Linked DNA regions of Drosophila melanogaster. The protein of the gene in region 1 interacts with the protein of each later gene in a pairwise test. Each region holds a gene or a part of one and is shown in the gene's direction. Other genes may lie near its edges. The genes, in order: CG2930 and Rilpl.

Evidence for each region.
Region 2: the proteins of CG2930 (region 1) and Rilpl interact in a two-hybrid assay, tested with the Drosophila melanogaster proteins (one large-scale study listed by BioGRID).

The regions. Positions count from the first base shown.
Region 1 is NC_004354.4:3,872,288-3,880,375, forward strand, and holds CG2930 (uncharacterized protein), read left to right. Parts: upstream 1-3,478; 5' UTR 3,479-3,513; coding exon 3,514-3,547; intron 3,548-3,614; coding exon 3,615-3,955; intron 3,956-4,027; coding exon 4,028-4,106; intron 4,107-4,167; coding exon 4,168-5,171; intron 5,172-5,340; coding exon 5,341-6,330; 3' UTR 6,331-6,530; downstream 6,531-8,088.
Region 2 is NC_004354.4:1,390,218-1,399,707, forward strand, and holds Rilpl (Rab interacting lysosomal protein like), read left to right. Parts: upstream 1-2,836; 5' UTR 2,837-3,326; coding exon 3,327-3,941; intron 3,942-4,006; coding exon 4,007-4,497; intron 4,498-4,865; coding exon of another isoform or gene 4,866-4,880; coding exon 4,881-4,976; intron 4,977-5,028; coding exon 5,029-5,154; coding exon of another isoform or gene 5,155-5,158; exon of another isoform or gene 5,159-5,335; coding exon 5,336-5,468; 3' UTR 5,469-7,120; downstream 7,121-9,490. Other genes in the region: CG32813 (uncharacterized protein), read left to right, coding at 32-1,348. UniProt on the Drosophila melanogaster protein: May have a role in lysosome distribution by interacting with Arl8.

The DNA.
Region 1 (8,088 bases):
TAACGCCTTTCGCCATCCTTCGACGTCGAGCAAGCGCGCAGTCGCAGCGGGCAGAGCAGTGCGGCAAAGCGACAAAGCGGCGAGCGGCGAAACCGTCAACGGCTTCTTAGCTAAGTTCGTTCACAGTCGACTTCAGTCTGAGGCTGTTGATCGCCGCTTGCGGACGTGGTCGCTCAATCCTGCTCGATTCATAACCGATTCAAAACCGATCCCATCCGAAACGACGTGCGTTCCAATTTTTTTTTTTTTGCAGTTGTTAAATGTTTTAATGTGAGTTACGAGTGCGCGAATGCAATGGAACAATAAAAGCAATAACGATCCGAAAGCTTCGCCAGAGACAATAAAAGCAATATCAAAACACTGATGTCTATATTATGAAAAGATCTTACGAAACAATAAAATCCTTTTAAAGGCCAATGCAGCAAAATAGGATAAAGTTACCAGAGAAAGAGCTTCCTTTTTTTATACAGTTTGAAAATCAATTTGCAACACAGAAAATCAATTAAAACTATTAATAATCTGAATGAGATATATTTGCGATATTGTTGGTTTAATTAATTATTTCGCAGTGGCAATTGGAAATTTCCCTTAAATATAGCCAATTTGTGGGCTTATTGAACTCCAGACGAGGATCAGTACTTTTTTGCTTTTATTGTCTCTTTTGTCTCTTATTGGAAAAAAATAAACAAAATTTACACGTAATATACATATATGTGCATATATTTTTCGTTAAATTAAAAGAAAGTTGAGTTTATGCATCTTATACATATGCACATTCCTACAACGTAATGATTTTTAAAGTAAATTTAATATTTTTCTTCGATTTCAAGTGACGCGTAACGGATGTGAAGCGATCTCCGGGTTCCCAACATGACGGATAAAAAAAATGGTATTGTTAATTACTAAAAATAACCACAGATGCATAATTATAGTTTTTACAGAGGGGTGGCGATTATACAGACTACTGAACCGAGATTTATGGCCCATATTTTTGTGAGGCTCGAGTTTTACTCATTGTTTCGATTTCTAGACATGCTATATAAGCCACACAAAATACACCTCACCATAGATTGCAATAGTGTTCTTATTTAGTTTATTGCACCTATTTACTTCGATACTCCTCACCCTTCAGTTTTAATCAGTGGCCGTTGGGTAACGTGCAAGTTATAAGAATTGGCGGAATACATCTCCACTTGCCAGTTATGACTCAACGGACGAACGATTTTCAGAACTCCAGGTTCGCAACTACGATAATCGGTTCTCTTGGCCGCGTGTGCAGTTTGCAAATCTAATCGCTCTGATAAGGGACTTTGAGTGACTGGCCCCGGGTTTTAGCCACTTGAGCGGCTCCAACACAAGCAACGAGCAGGTCCAAATGTGGATTTACTTTCGACGGTCCCCAAAAAAGAGCTGCCAAACTTGGTCAATTGGCACGGACCAACCTTGCCTATATACTTGCCTATTCAAATCTCAAAAAATAAATAACTCGACTTGCCTACACCGATGCAAATTTTCCAATTTGTACAACTGTGTGCGCCTGCATTTCAATGTCAGACGCCGGCTTCATTTGCATATTCGTAGGCAAACTGCCAATGCGGGTGTTTAAAACAAATGCGGCTAAAATTGCGATTACGATTTCGTTTGGTATACCAAACACACACACACACACACCACTTGCTGACAAATCGCTGGGAGAGCCTGTAGTAAATGCAACCGCTTGCAATTAGTGAGTGAGTAGTTCGCCTGGAATTTGCCATTTCGTATTTGGTTGCTCCATGCGGAGCAGAACCCGGTCGAATTGGATGGGGCGGTGCCGATATGGGGTCGTAATTGCCGCTTCGAACGGAACAAGACAATCAAAGTTTTGCTCACTACCGAAAACATCGAACTTATCTATCTGACAACTTCCATTGAATAATTCTGTTTCTTTGCCGCCGTAAAAAGCAATTGTAATTAAAACTGGGCCAAAGCGCCAGCTCCTGCGGCGCTTATCATTTCGCTGGACCAATAAACATCGCGCTCGTTCTAATCGCTTGTAAATCAGTTGGAATGCTTTTAGACCCTCTTCATGGCGATTATGTATGTTATTGGGTAGGTGTGAAATTTACAACCTATTTGATGGCCAATCGATGAACAAACCGACGATTATGCGATATCAATGCCGATATGCAATGTCATTAAAGAATCACTCACTACTATATATAGCCAATCCAATTATGTTCATCCGTTCTCGAATTCCAGAAGAATTTCTCTGCATATCACAGTTAGCGATAGTTCAACGCACATCCTAACCACCTATCAATCAATCAATCAATCAATCAATCTATAGGTCCCAGGGCTCTTAGAGCTTAAGTAAAGAAATCTTGAGAAAGTGAAATTGAGAACACTTTCACAGCACTTTCCCTCCGAAACTTTACAACTGCACTCAGGGCATACCAGGCTTATCTAATTATTTATAGGTAAAGCCCTCAGTGTACTCATTTTTCAATTAGCTTGTTGAAAATTACGGAGTATCAGCGACTCCGATTGGTCTACGGCTTTTATGGAGCCCAATCGAGTGGATTGAGTGGAGATCCGTCTGGAGATCAATTTTCCGTCCTTCGGTGACACTTGGCCAGTTCCCTGGCACTAAACACTACGCTATTAGCGGCTGCAAAATGAATGAATGAATGAGTGGTTTTGAGTGTGAATGTGAGTGGCAGGCCTGGTCTACCAACTTCAAACGGCCACCGAAGCGGGTCAATGCTGTACACGTCTGGTACTTGTATATTTTGTATATCTCTGTTTCCCTGCGATAAGGCGCTTTATGTTAATGGATGTTTGATGTGAAGTGTAGTGCGTGCAATAGCATTGTTTCCACGGTTTATGGAGCCATGTGATGGCTGCTATACATTACTGCCTCAAATAGCGGTCATAAACGCTGATAAAGCATCGATGGATTAGCTGCGAACCGATTCTGGATCGCAGTTAGATAAGGCCCATTCATTGGTCGCCATTCGGGACTTTCGCAGTTCGCAGTTCGCTTCCTGAATCATCAACCATCGAACAGATACAGATCCAGTTGTCCGAACATGGCCATGACCATGACTAGCTGCACTAGGCACCAGCTGCAATTACCATTCGATCCACATGGACATGACCATTAAAGCTCCAGCAGACATTTAGACGCAGCATTGTCAGTAATCAGCATGTTGTTTATGGCGTGGAAAGCCATACTCCCAGCCAGTTTGTCAAAGTGTGGAGGCGATCGCCGAGAGAGCTATCTTCCCTAGCTGGGTTATCTGACGCCCGCCACTGGCGTAAACCTCGTAAAAGCTCGGGGCCTAAGGCTGGATAATTTATGCCGGGCCACCGAATTCACACGCCCGCCGTTGAAGTAAAGGCCCGTTCAAATATAGAACAGTCCTTATCTGTGGCGGAGGTGTCAAGCACAAGGCCACAAGTCTCGGTTTCGGTTTCTGATGAAATGTCGCCGATCCTCAGATCACTAACGAATCTCAGTGGCCATATGAAATGGAGCTGCCGGCGGAGCAAGTACCCCTGCTGGGTGGGCTCTCCAAGTTTTCGATTATTGCATTTCGAATTACTAACCTGGATCCTTCTTTCGTCCGCAGAAATACAGCCAGCGGCTGAGCCTGTGGCTGAACCAGAGCCTTCTCCCGCGGCCGAAATAGCTCCTGCAAGTCCCGATGGCTCCGGTCCAAGTGCTGCCGCTGCAGAAGAAGTCACCCCGAGTGTTGCGACCGTTGAAGACACTACCCCGATTGCAGCCCCTGCAGAGAGTCAACCGTCCGGCGAGAGCAACGGCACGGCGGAGGCCAAGAAGCTGCCCGAGATCGCTAAAAAGAATGGCAAGGAGCCCGACCAGAATGACAAGGAGCCCGACCAGAATGGCAAGGAACTGGCAGAGACCAATGACTTCAAGAACGTCTCCGAGACTGAGGGTCAGCAGAAGGTAATCGTCATTGGTGCTCTTTAACAAGTATTGAAGCAAACACTGTACTTACCTTTTCATTGACACCCACAGAAACTGCCCTACCCCAAGTCCGTGTTCTTCATCATCAGTAACGAATTCTGCGAACGTTTCAACTATTACGGCATGAGGAGTAAGTTAATCGCAAAGTATCTTACAATGAAATCTCTGCTAATCGCTCGTACTCCATTCAGCTGTTTTGGTTCTGTATCTGAGTCGAGTTCTGGGCTATTCTGATGATACCGCCACCGTGGTCTTCCATATCTTCACCATGTTCGTGTACTTCCTGTGCGTTTTTGGAGCCATCATTTCGGACTCTTGGCTGGGAAAATTCAAGACTATCCTGTATTTATCGCTGGTTTATATATGCGGATCGGTGCTGCTGACCCTAGGTGCCATTGGACCACTTAACCTGCCCATGGAAACGTTTACGATGTTGGGCCTGGCGTTAATTGCCCTTGGTTCAGGCGGCATTAAGCCGTGTGTGTCGGCATTCGGTGGCGATCAGTTTAAGGTGCCGGAGCAGGTGAAGCAGATCACTTCGTTCTTCTCGCTCTTTTACTTTTCGATCAATGCCGGATCGCTGATCTCCACCACGGTGACTCCAATATTGCGCGAGGACGTGTCCTGCTTTGACGACATTAACTGCTATCCATTGGCCTTTGGAGTACCGGCCGTACTTATGATTGTGTCGGTGATCATCTTCGTTTTGGGACGATCCCTGTACAAGATGAAGCCACCGGCCGGAAATATGGTGGTGCTTGTGAGCAGTACCATCTGGACAGCCCTGACCACCAAATGTAAGGAGAAAAAGACCAATCCGCGGGAGCACTGGCTGGACTATGCCGATAAAAAGTACGACCGCCAGTTGATTGACGATGTAAAGGTCCTTATGCGAGTCCTCTTCCTCTACCTGCCACTTCCGGTCTTCTGGGCACTGTTTGATCAGCAGGGCTCCCGTTGGACCTTCCAGGCCACCCGAATGGACGGCGACATGGGCTCCTGGGACATCAAGCCCGACCAGTTGCAAGTGCTCAATCCTCTGCTCATCCTAATCTTTATACCGTTGTACGATGTGGCCCTCTATCCGGCCCTGAAACTAGTGGGTATCCGACGACCGCTGCAGAAACTCACCATGGGCGGCATCCTTGCGGGCATTGCTTTCATCATTTCCGGAGTGGTGGAGCTTAGCTTGGAGGTGAGTAATTGTTCGAAAATGCTTGTTGGCTTGGGACTTAAAGCTCTGAAAGTATTTAATTGGGAAGTTTTAAAGTATTTTTAACTGCTGTGCTTATATATATTGTATTGTACTGTACCTGCACCTGCACTTTCCGTTTTTCTTTCGTTGCACGCCTTGCTGTCGTTAGAAAACCTATCCCGACCTGCCCTACAGCCAGAACATCCAACTGCGCATCTTCAACGCGGACAACTGCGACTACTTCTTCACTTCGAACATTCCGGGAGCGGAAAATGTGACGGTGACCTCGTTGAATGCCTATACCAACAAGGATATTTACGCACCCGGTTCGCTGGACGTGGAGTTCTCGCTCAGCAGTGCAAGTGAAGCTTGTACCATTAGCGCTGACAAAATACCTAAAGTCCTTACTGATAATACGGCTTGGTCTCTGTTCCTCAATCCGCTAAATGGTAGTGGATACTACTGGGAGGAGGATTTTGTGGACAAGCCGAGCCAGAGCCATCCGCTGATCCGAAACGTCGCTAATGTGCCGCAGGAGCTGTCAATTCGTTGGGAAAAGGCTAGCACGGGAGAGGTGGTCTATGACGACCTGGCTAGCAAAACGTTGCTCACGCGTGTGAATTCGGCGGAGTATGTAGTCATGGTGGGCGAAAGGAACGTCGGAACATTCGATGTTCACACCGGCGGCGTGTACACACTCCTGATTAAAGATAACAACAACATTTACGAGGCCAATTTGGAGGAAGTGACGAGCCCCAACTCGGTAAAGATCCTTTGGCTGGTGCCGCAGTACGTGGTGATGACCCTCGGCGAGGTGATGTTCTCGGTGACGGGACTGGAGTTCTCATACGCCCAGGCACCACCCAGCATGAAGAGTGTCCTGCAGGCCTGTTGGCTGCTAACGGTGGCCTTCGGCAACGTCATTGTGGTCGTCATCGCCGAGGCCGCCTTATTCGAATCGCAGGCCAGCGAGTTCTTCCTGTTCGCCGGCCTCATGTTCGCCGACATGTTGATCTTCATGGTGATGGCCTACTACTATGTGCCCAACGATCCGAACAAGGTGGAGGAGGCCCAGCCCCTGACGGCGGGTGATGCCAAAACAGAGATTCCCGCTCTCGAAGGCGGAGTCGAGAACAAGGGCAAGGACATCAACGAGTAGACCTCAAACCGATTCGTCCTGCTTGCTCCCGCGTTGTGTATTATATATATATATATTTGTACTTGTAGATGTGTATATGTATGTAAATCCTTAGTGGCCTTTGTCCATTTCCAAGCTAAGTGTAAGTGAAGCTGCGACCGGGCATTGTTGCATATGAAAAGACATCCAACTAGTTAATCTAATAAAAGAAAATTAATAATATAATCCGTCGTTGTTACTATTCTTGTTGTCTCTCTATCTGCTTTAATACTCTTAATTGTTTCTTTTCACCTATGACCTGGATTTTACTCAGTATGATAGTCTTATACGATATCATTCCGGAGATTTCTGGTATTGCTCCGATCTAATATATTAGTACCAGCTTGCACGTATATCTTCCACCCTTGCAGCACACTTACCCATTGATCCCGAGCAGTGGTAATACCCAGCTACGCGTCTTCAGCGGTATTCCCGACTGCGATTATCGCTTTAGTACGAACCTCGGAGCCCGGGAGAGCTTCACCTTAAGGGGGCTGGACTTCTACTATTCGGGTAGCGTGGCCACGAACACCGACGGCATCTTCCAGTTAACATACACCGTGGAAAGTTTAACTGAAGGTATGTTACCACGTTATCGCGATCCTCCTATTCAAGAGAACTTGTTGATGTAAGAACTCGTGAATATGTTTAAAGCCCACCATCCTCTTTGGAGCGTTAAGCTGTCAACACAAATAGAATCACTTCAGTGGTCACAAGGTTTTCGGATGTTTGAGAGTATCTTAGAATGGCTGATAAGCCATTAGTAGTAATTACTAGTAACTTTTTTGGGTAGTATTTTGAATTGGGTATGGGTAGTATAGTTGAAATGGGTATTCTACCACAATTTGTACTTTATTCTGAATGGTGTACCCCTTAGGTTGCGCAATCCTGGAGGGCGGAACACAGCAGTTGTATGAGGCCACCGCCCACTCACTGTTCCTGCGACCTTCGCACGCCATCACTAAGTTTTGGTACGAGGACGAGGTGCAGAAGTCGAATCGCTCGTGGGCTTTTGTGCGAAACTTGGCGAATCTCTTGGCCACCACGCGTGTCGTTTGGCGGGAGGATTCAGGGGATACGGTGGCCCTGGATTTGCCCGCCCGCAATCATGATCTCTACGAGCTAAGTACGGGCGGTTACAACGTTCAGGTGGCGGATCACAATCTTACCAGCATAGAGTTACGCGCTGGGGGCGTTTACGCCCTGCTGATCGGCCAGAGTCACGGAACATTCGTATCGCGAATCATAGAGGTAACCAGCCCCAATTCGATGCACATGCTCTGGCTGGTGCCGCAGTACGTGGTAATGACCCTCGGTGAGGTGATGTTCTCGGTGACGGGACTGGAGTTCTCCTATTCCCAGTCGCCGCCCAGCATGAAAAGTGTCCTGCAGGCCTGCTGGCTGCTAACAGTGGCCTTCGGCAACGTTATCGTCGTGGTTGTGGCGGAACTCAAGTTCTTCGACTCGCAAGCCAGCGAGTTCTTCCTGTTCGCTGGCCTCATGTTTGTCGACATGCTGGTCTTCATGTTCGTGGCCTACTACTATAAGCCATATGATGAGGTGGCTGCTCTGGCGGAGAGGGTAAGGGCCAGACGGGAACGGAAATGGCAGGATCTCGACCGATTCAAGAGGGACTAGGAATACGGATGCCTGATTGTCATTTGAATCTGTCCGCTTATTATATCCTTATGTGCAGTTCTTTTACGATTCGAAATAAATATCCCCCAAATATGGCAGAAC
Region 2 (9,490 bases), 2.5 Mb from region 1:
CCTACTAAAACGCTGTCCATGATGGTTTCAGTATCATTTATTTTCCTCACACTTGCAGATGCCCCACTACCACGAGGGCATGGACACGGACGTGATCCTTATCAAGTCGGAGACAATTAGCGACAACGAGCAGACGGACAATGGCATGGACTGCCTGGACGAGGACGATGACGACGACTGCTTGAGCCACAAGGCGCCGGAGGTGTGCCTCGAGGAGGAGGACGACGTGCTCTTTCCAACGGACGTGCGCCAGCTGCAGCAGGTGGGATCGTCCGGAGCCGCCGGCGGTGGTGTCTCCGGAGGCTCCCTTCCCGGAAACATGTCTAGCAACGGGATTACCGAAACCAGTCGCCGCGCCGCAAGCTCGCCCGTGTGCTCCACGAAGACCTCGATTAGTTCCAGCGGGAGCTACGCATCAGCGCCCAAACCGGACATCACTATCCAGACCGTGGGCCACATACGCGTGGGCAGCTTTGCCAACATCAACAAGACGCTGCAGAACGGCGGCTCCGGCACAGGAGCTGTCCTATCAGCGGCCAGCAATGGCGGCTCCAGTGCCAGTGGAGTGCTGCCGCTCACAGCGGAGCAAGTGCAGCAGCACACGCTGCTGAACGGCCTAGGATTGTCCGCCGTGAATCCGGCTCAGTCTCTGCAGGCGGCCATCAATGCCGCCTATGGGTCCGCCGCTCCATCTTCATCGGTCGCCATTAGCAGCCGCCGCACCCCTCCCACTCTGCAGTTGCCACGCCTTCAGCGCGGAAACATCAACAATAGCCACCACACTGCCGGCAGCACAAGCAATTCCGCGGTGGCCTCCAATGGAGTGCAACTGTTGCTCAACGGCGGCCACCACGCACAGATGACGCACAACCATTTGGCGCGGGACAAGACAGGAGGCGTGGCCATCGGGGCGGCGGGCAGTTTCAACGGGTACAACGGACTGGCAGTGGCGGGCACAGTGTGCAGCGCCTTGAACAGCAGCGGATCCGGAGCCGGAAGCGGCGGGAGCAGTGCCAACAACAGCGGCGTGGGCCTGGGGATCGGCGGGGCACACACGTCGGGCAGCGGAGGAAGTGGCAGCGGTGGGACGAGGAGCCAGCACCAGGAGCTGATGAATTCGCTGAGGATCGAGGAGAGCAAGCGGAAAATCGACCTGATCAACGCCCAAATCGAATACTGGCAGACGCTCACCCGCAAGCTGAACAGTCAGGCGAATCACATGCCCAATCCTGCGTGCCCGTGCCACTTCCCTGGAGCCAGTGTGCTCTCGCCCGTCGCCGTGACCGCCGCTAGTGCCTCATCGTCCGCTTCCGCCAATGTGTTGCAGACGCAGGCCAGCACCAGCTAGTCCGCAGCCAAGGGGCGGTTCGAACTAGTCGGGGGTCCTGCGGGCGAAAGCGAAAGCGACAGCGACATCATCTCGATAGTGGACATAGATGATGGGCGGTCTAGGGAGGACGAGCAGTCGGAGGACGATGGCGAGAACCGTGACCAGGCCATAACGGACCTGACGCTACCCGACGAAGACGAGGAAGACGATGTAGACGAAGATGACTCACAGGATGCCTTGGTCAGGGATGTTGGCGTGGTGGGCGGCCTGTCGTCGCCAGATACACCGCCCCACTCCTCTCCGCCGCCAGCGAAGCGCTCGAAGCGCCAGGAAGTCACCTCCGAGCTCCTGAGGCAGCTGGCCCTGCAGCAGAATCAGGATCCCCAGGAGGGGTGCTAGTATTTTGTCTAGTTTGCTAATTTTATACTTGCTACCATGGATTGACGCAACCACTTTGTAACATTAATTTTACCATATATATTTATTTACGCCCAGTTTGAGTGCCAAAACAGAAACCAAGATTGGGGCCTTGCCATCGAAAATGCTTGCCAAAGGACCTGCTGAAATAACCGGTCATAACCACTCGCGACCCACTATTTATTTGCCAGCCTAACTGAAACATAGCGATTCATCTCATTTTAAAATGTCTTGCGTCGCCTATTTTTTTATTGCCTTTTTTTTTCTATACATGTAACGTGTTTATTTTTAAGTTTTCCTACGAGCTGCTACCAAAAAGAATAAGAAGAAGAAGGTGACTATCTTGAATGTACATTTACTTTACAAAACTAGACCTTACTTACTTACTTAATTAGAGATCGAGCAGCTAAGAACGCATGAAAATGAAATGTACAAATGTGGTTCCTAATCTAGTCCCTAAAGTCAAAAGTGAAGAACGAAAGAGCTACAGAAAAGAAATCGAAATTGTTACGCCTAGCCGAGAACTTGTGTATTATTTTTTTATATCGCTTAGATTGTTCCCCCGAGGAAAGCATTGAAGGAACTGTAGCTAATTTATGTACTTAATGAACCAGTGAAACCAAACCAATGATTTGAAATGGTGTAAAGAGAAGAAACTTGCTAGTCGCCGCTGCATAACTGTGTAAATGTGGCACACAAACCATTTAGTTAGTGTTAGTGCTACTGTACGTGTAAAATACAATTAATTGCCTATCCAGACCCAGTAACCACAATTTACAAGGAAGCACACACCAAACGAAACTGAAAACCAAGAAAACAAAACTATTTATACAATTTTGTAAACAAGAACTTATTAATAAAACAATGAATTTACTTTGTGGCCCAGCCTGTTGACTTTTGGATAGTAAAATTTCGTTTAAGGCTTAACATTTTGGCACTTACGCTCATTTTGCTCGCTTAAGCTGCTCTTCATTTGGCGCCAAACGAATTGGCGTTGCCCAACACTGACCAGCCAGCACAAAGCGCTACCAGACTGCGCAACCGACTGCTCATCTGGGAACTGGTTCGCACATATGGGCGCCCGCGAACCAGTTATTCGTTACTCATCAGTTCCAGTTCGGTTCAGCAAAAATTGTGCAAATAAATTGCGGAAAGTCGGATTGTTTATGTGGGAATCGGCAGCGAAAAGCGACTCGGCGGCAGTAACAACTAGAGTGAATGAAGTGAGCACTGCCACTCCCACGCACACTACTGTGCAGTCTGTGTGCGCCAACTGTGAATTGCGAAGTGCGAATTCCGTACTTCGGATTGCGGATTCCCCCCCTCCCTTAAAGCACTTGGAAAACCAACACCTGGCGCACGTACACGCACACGCACACTTGTCCTGCTAGCGAAAGAAAAATCCCTGTCAGCTGGTGCAGCGATTCCCGAAGCAACTCCGAGGAGCAGGACACCGTGGAAAGAGGCGACAACTGAAGCTGGTCTTCAGTGAACACAGAGTCCAGTGAGCAAGTGTGAGCAAGTAAACAAGTGATACAGCGCTTGGCAGGAGTCACAGATTATCTGAGCGACCACCTGGATGCCCGGCTTTCACCTCAATGAGATGGGTGAAATGGTCCTGGACGCCATCGACGACATCGGCGTGGTCGATGTGTACGACTTGGCCTCCGACATTGGCAAGGAGTACGAGCGGATCATGGACCGCTTCGGCACGGACGCCGTCAGCGGGCTGATGCCCAAGATCATCAACACCCTGGAGCTGTTGGAGGCGCTGGCCACGAAGAACGAGCGCGAGAACGCCACCATCCAGGAGCTGCGCGATAAGGTGGCCCAGCTGGAGAGCGAGAAGCTGGAGAAGGCCGAGTTCCGGCGGCGGTTCGACAAGGAGCTGGAGCTGATCGAAGAGCAGTGGCGCAGCGAGACCAACGAGCTGGTCGATCTCGTCTCCTCGCTGCAAGACGAGAACAAGCGGCTGGTAAAGCAGACTCAGGATCTGCAGTCATCGTCCGCCCAGAGCTCCGGCCTGGGGGCCAGTCTCACCGAGAGCATTATCAGCATGACCAACCACGAGCTGCACAGCGCTCTTTCGGATACTCAAGTGCTGCAACGGCTGAAGGAGCAGATATACAAGCAGCGCGACGAGTTGAAGCACCGCGAGCGTGAGCTGCAGGACAAGTACAGCGAGCTGGAGCACGTGAGTGTCCTTAAGGATAGGTGCTCATATTCCCAGCTAACGTATTCTTAACTAACCCTTCCCAGCTCAATATCCAGGCGGAGCGTCTGAAGGCATCAGAGCGAGATACCCGGCGCCGCCACAAGCTGATGCAGGCCCAAGTGAAGACGCTGTGCGAGGAGCGCGCCGACTTTCTTGCCCAGCTGCAGGACCAGAGCCGGGAGATCAACCAACTGCGCAAGCGATTGGGCCTGGCCGAAAAGGAGAATGAGGATTTGGTGGCCTCGTACGACGATGGCCAGAACGATCCCAACCGGCCGCGGTACACCACGCGCGAGCTGAAAGAGTTGATTAGCGAGCGCGATGAGCTGCTGACCACCATCGACACCCTCAACGAGCAGCTGGCGGAGCTGAAGCCACCAAGCCAGGCGAAGGGCAAGCGGCAGCGTCACTTCTCCAGCTCCGACGATAGCGATGAGGACGACGATGGTCACGTGGCGGACAACGATGATGACGACGACGAGGAGGAGGCGGCTGCCGAGGCGAACGAGCTGGAGCCACCAGCGGCCGGAGAAACGTGAGTGAGCCCATTTCTGTTACATCCTTTAGTTTTGTGGTCCCTCACCAGAGAAAACAAGAATTTATGAACGACCGCTTGAGTCAAAGTGATTAACGAACAAGCATTTTCAGCCTGAGTCATTCTTTTGTTGTTGCTCAGTGCTAACAATATTCAAATAGACCCTATGATGCAAACGTTTAATTGGCAGGTGATTCAGAGCTTAAACGTATATATTTGCGTGTTTTTTCGCAAGGTCAGCAGGTAACTGGTAAATGGCACAATTGGGAGTCAAACAAATCGTTGGATTCGGATCTATATGTTGATTATTTTTGAGTTTTTATAGCTAATTACTATCCCTAGTTATGATTACTTAAGTACATACATAGTGCATCGCTTTTCAGGCCACCTGGACACGATGCGCCCGTGCAGGGCCCTTTGCCCTACGAGCCGGACGATGCGCCCTGGAAGAAGAGCTCCGAGTCGGGAATACGCAAATTGTAAGTGGCATTCAATCGGCGTAGAGCTCTCGATTCACTTTCTGCATTGTAGCTTCCGGAAGCTGTTCTCGGACCCGTCGGACGGCAGCAACACGTTCCCGAAACGTTCCTTGGCCACGCTCTCCAAGATGGCGCTGTCGGCCACGCCCGGTTCCGTTTCCGCCTCCGCAGCGGCGAAGTAAGCGCCCCTTAAAGCATCCGAGTTGGCGTGCATTTCACTTTTCGTTTGTTTTCTGTTTTTCCGTTTCCGTTCCATTCCGTTCCGTTCCGTTTGCACTGCCCCCCGCACCCCTGCATCTTGCATCCTAATTTATTATTTATTTTTTACTTTTACGTCTTACGATTACGTTTACATTTAGTTTAGGCAACAGCCTGTATCTGACCCTGTCCCTCGCCATTCACCTGCTCCGCCTGAGCTGTACATACATAGTTTACACACTCGATTGCTGTGCCCTCATAATTCTAAGTTGTTATGCAATTTTGTTTACGTAATACGCGTTTTATTCGTAACTCGTAACCCCTAACTGTACTGGATATATTTAATACGAATCCACTTTGTATTTTTCGTACCTTCGATTTATTCTAACTTGATTAACGACTACCACATAAGACTCCAAACATACCACAGCCCCCACATGTGCACGTGTTTCAAAAATCAAGATCGAGAACGAAAACGAGAACGAAAACGATATCGAGATTGTGCAAAGATTGCCGAGTGAGTTTTTAATGAATTTAGACAAAAACAAGCTTAGAAAGACAAACAGTCCTCCCAGGTGCAGATGCAGAGAAAACGATTCGGTGAGATGAGGAGACGAGACGAGGAGGACTCTGGTTCTGGGACCCCAGATTTTAGAAAGTCTAGGTAGAACGGGAAGATTTTGCTTCAATTATCCGTAGTGTAACTGTCCCTAAGACCCCTGCATCTATCTAGATCTTCGGCTATCGCCAGCCCGTATGAGTATTTTAGCACTCTCATAGCAGTTGCCCCAAGCGGCCTTATAAATATATTACAAATTTATCAAAATACGCAAACCTTAGAGCGAAAGAAACCTAAAAGTATATATAATTGATATATAATTAGCAAACGTTACAACCTTAGCGCATTGTTTGTTGACTTGAATTGAACTAACTAACGAAACCAATCTCAGCATAGTAGATTCCATTGATAGCATTCGATTGCACAAAGATGCCAAAAAGCGAAAATCTCCGCGTTACCCCATTGCCGGCCGGCCAGTCTAAATCAAGGAATGTTTTAGCCAAGAGTTTTACCATAGACTTAGCCACTGACCAGCTCGAATTGTTGTTACCGCACCCAGACGACTTCGCCCAGAGCCCCCACTCCACTTGAAGCCCAGTGATTTCGAGGAGATCTCAGTCCGATCCTCGTTCATAGCTAGTATCCATGAGAGAGACGCCCATGTAGTGCAATTACCAATATGGTGTCACTTCCCGCTCCCCTTCCACTCACAAGCACAAAGCGAGGAAACTCCGTTTACATATCAGCTCCATCGCTATCGTCGATGCGAACGTGCCAAAGACTAATGGTCAGACCCTATGCCCCCATTATTCGCAACTCCCCCCCACTACCCACACCACGCACCGAACACCCAGCCCACAACACCCGACTTACCAATCTCAATTAACCCATCTCGTTTCGAACACAACAAAGAGTGGCAACTGAACTTTTATAAAATTGAACACGAGCGCGCAATGGCATCGATATGAAAAAGTGGACTAACGTTGAGTGGGTGAAGACCACGAAAAGAAGATGGAGAGAAATTGAGTATTTGGTGAATTAATGTTAACTAAATTTATATACACATATACACATGCATTATACATAATATACTTTACTATATACTATGTAATACCGTATTATATGGAACTATGACTAACCAAAAAGGCAACAAGGCAACAATTATACAAAATTCAAAGCGTACCAGGGTGGCACTTGGACCATGGACTGCAGGAGCGACCAGAGCGATAGCGAGCATCGGATCGGATCGGATTGGATCGCATCATGGTGAACCGCATCAGAGGGCGACGCCTCCGCATCCGGGTATCATCTGCTCACCCCTGTACGTACATCAAATTTATGAGTGGCTTCCTTTGAGCGACCACCAAAATAAACTTATGAACCGTGGAGTGGATTTCGAATGAATGATTTGGGTTGGCGGCAAGTGGAGCACTCGCTGTGCGGAACCTAAGGTGTTTATTTCATTATTTAACATTACTTATAAGTTCGTTTTTAATTTGGCTTATTTTCGATTGCTTTCAAAATTATTCCCAAGGTATTGTAAGAAACAAGTCGAGATCGGCAGAGAGTTCAAGATCATTGTCATCATCGTGTGTTTCATCGTCAGAAACGAAGGATGTTTGAAGACCATCTTCAAGTTCAAGTATTTTCACGTATCATAACATTTCATATCAAGCCTTAAAGGTTAGTAGCGACTTCAATTTGCCCATAAACACATTTCGGGGTGCTCTAGTCATTGGAGTTCTGGCTTCCATGTCGCCCGAGCCTGTAGCCTCTAGCTACTGATATCCTTTGCACAAGGACAGTCGGTGGGGTTGTATTTCGATCGTGCTTTTGGTACTAAGAAAAGGGGGTGGATGTCGAACAAGGCTGATTGCGTAACACCTGGCAGTGCATCCCATGGGATTCCCCCGCGCCCGACCACCCATCGCGGTGGTTGGAGCTTTCTCGCCACGAGCTTTTCGACTGAGCTTTACCCCGGGGCTCTGGGCCACCCACTTACCAAGCCACGAAGCCATCTTGCAGCATCGTCAACCCTGCGCATCCGCGTCCGCATCCTGCATCTCGTGCGGTGCGTAGCAGCATCTCGTGCCCCGTCCTCGAGTCCTTGCTGGGTCGCTTCTGCCGTTTACTGGGCGCCTGATCTCCATGCCGGGTTTGAGGCGTATCTAGGGCGTGGTGGTTGTTCCGGCTGGACGACCTTGAGCACCGCCCCTCATCTGCGATGGCGTTTTAATTGCCCAGCAACAGGCGATTTGTTGGTGGTGGTGGTGATGTGGTGGCGGCTCTTCGTTCGGGGATGCGTTCTGGCCATTCTCAACGGGATTTTCACGCAGTTCCAATTAAGCAATTAAAAATCTGCCACCGGACTTGGCGGCGAGACGTGGGCGGGTTCATGGTGGCCGGAGACGGCGTTGTCAGCTTTTTAATTAAGAAGATGTTAGCGTAATAGGATAGAAGGATATGCGCTGCGAAAATCGTAGGTCGAAATGTGCGCAGCTAATGAAGAAGGCCCCTGTGTTTTTGTGGTCACTGGGAGTGGGCCCCACAATTTCCACTAATTGCCCTGGCCTGGCATGGGCTGGCCAGAAAGAAAAGAATTAAGAGACGGAGCGGAGATAAAAGCGCTTAATGAGTTTCTGCAGAGGCCCCGTGCGACGATTTCAGGGGCCTTAGTCAGTCGATTTTTGAACAGGCTCGCAGCAGCCGCCGCAGAAGCTCCGTTGGATTTGGATTTGGATGCAAGGGGCAGCCCCACTCGAAACTCCCGCACTTCCACAGAGCCAGTACAGTGAATTCTGGAGATGGACAACTGCGCAAGTTGTGCTTTAGGCTGGGACACAGGACTCATTCGACGCAGTGAACCTGACGGAGTGCAACCAGTCCTACATGCTTATTTGTCTCGATTACCCAATGATACATGTGTATATATATGTATGTATATTGCATGCACCTAACCGGCTAACTGCATCGAAATGAGAGCGCTGGAAATACCGCGGTGCCAGCCAGCGAGGGTTCACTGTGCGTGTGCACACTCGCCGCAATCCAGCACCGCTCGTCGACTGCTGCTCCTCGATGAGCGCCTGAGCCCAAAAACTGTTTTTTACACAAGGACATTGCCATCTCATGGCCACCCTAAGATAGAGAAAGAGAAAGAGCGGGAGCGCACACTTTCACATCTTTCTCTTGCAGCGAGTGTGTGCGAGTAGTGAACGCGGGCCAGAGCGGGATGGGCGGAGCGCTGGTGGAGCTCTATAGCTGGCCCGCTCCCGCCGCAACATGCTGCAGCTGCTGCTGGTGCTGCTTTCTGGGCGCCTGTTTAGCGGCCAGCGCCAGGTTGGAACAAGAAAGCGAAAGTGTTAACGCTCGCGTACATCCGCTGCACCGTTTTCCGCTCCACTGTGGACCGCTCCCGGCGCTCCTGTGGGTCGTCATGTGTGCGCGGGTGTGTGGGAGTGTGTTAGCCGTCCGACGTTTTCGAGTTGGCCACATCACATGTGCCTGCTGGAGGCCATCCGCCGCGTCCAGGATGGCCCCCGTACGCCTCCAATCCTCCTCCGGCACCGTTACCGGCGCCCTATCGCCGTCCCTGTTTGCCTGCTTAATTTGCGACGCGCATGACGCGAATGTGGCCGCCGTTCGGGTGAATTCTACGAGTTTTGGAGCCGTTGGCTTGGAGCGCTTTCCGTGAGATGTTGCAGCGGGCTTATTGGAATGAACATTCTAGGAACTTGCCCTAGACGGAATACCAGGCGAA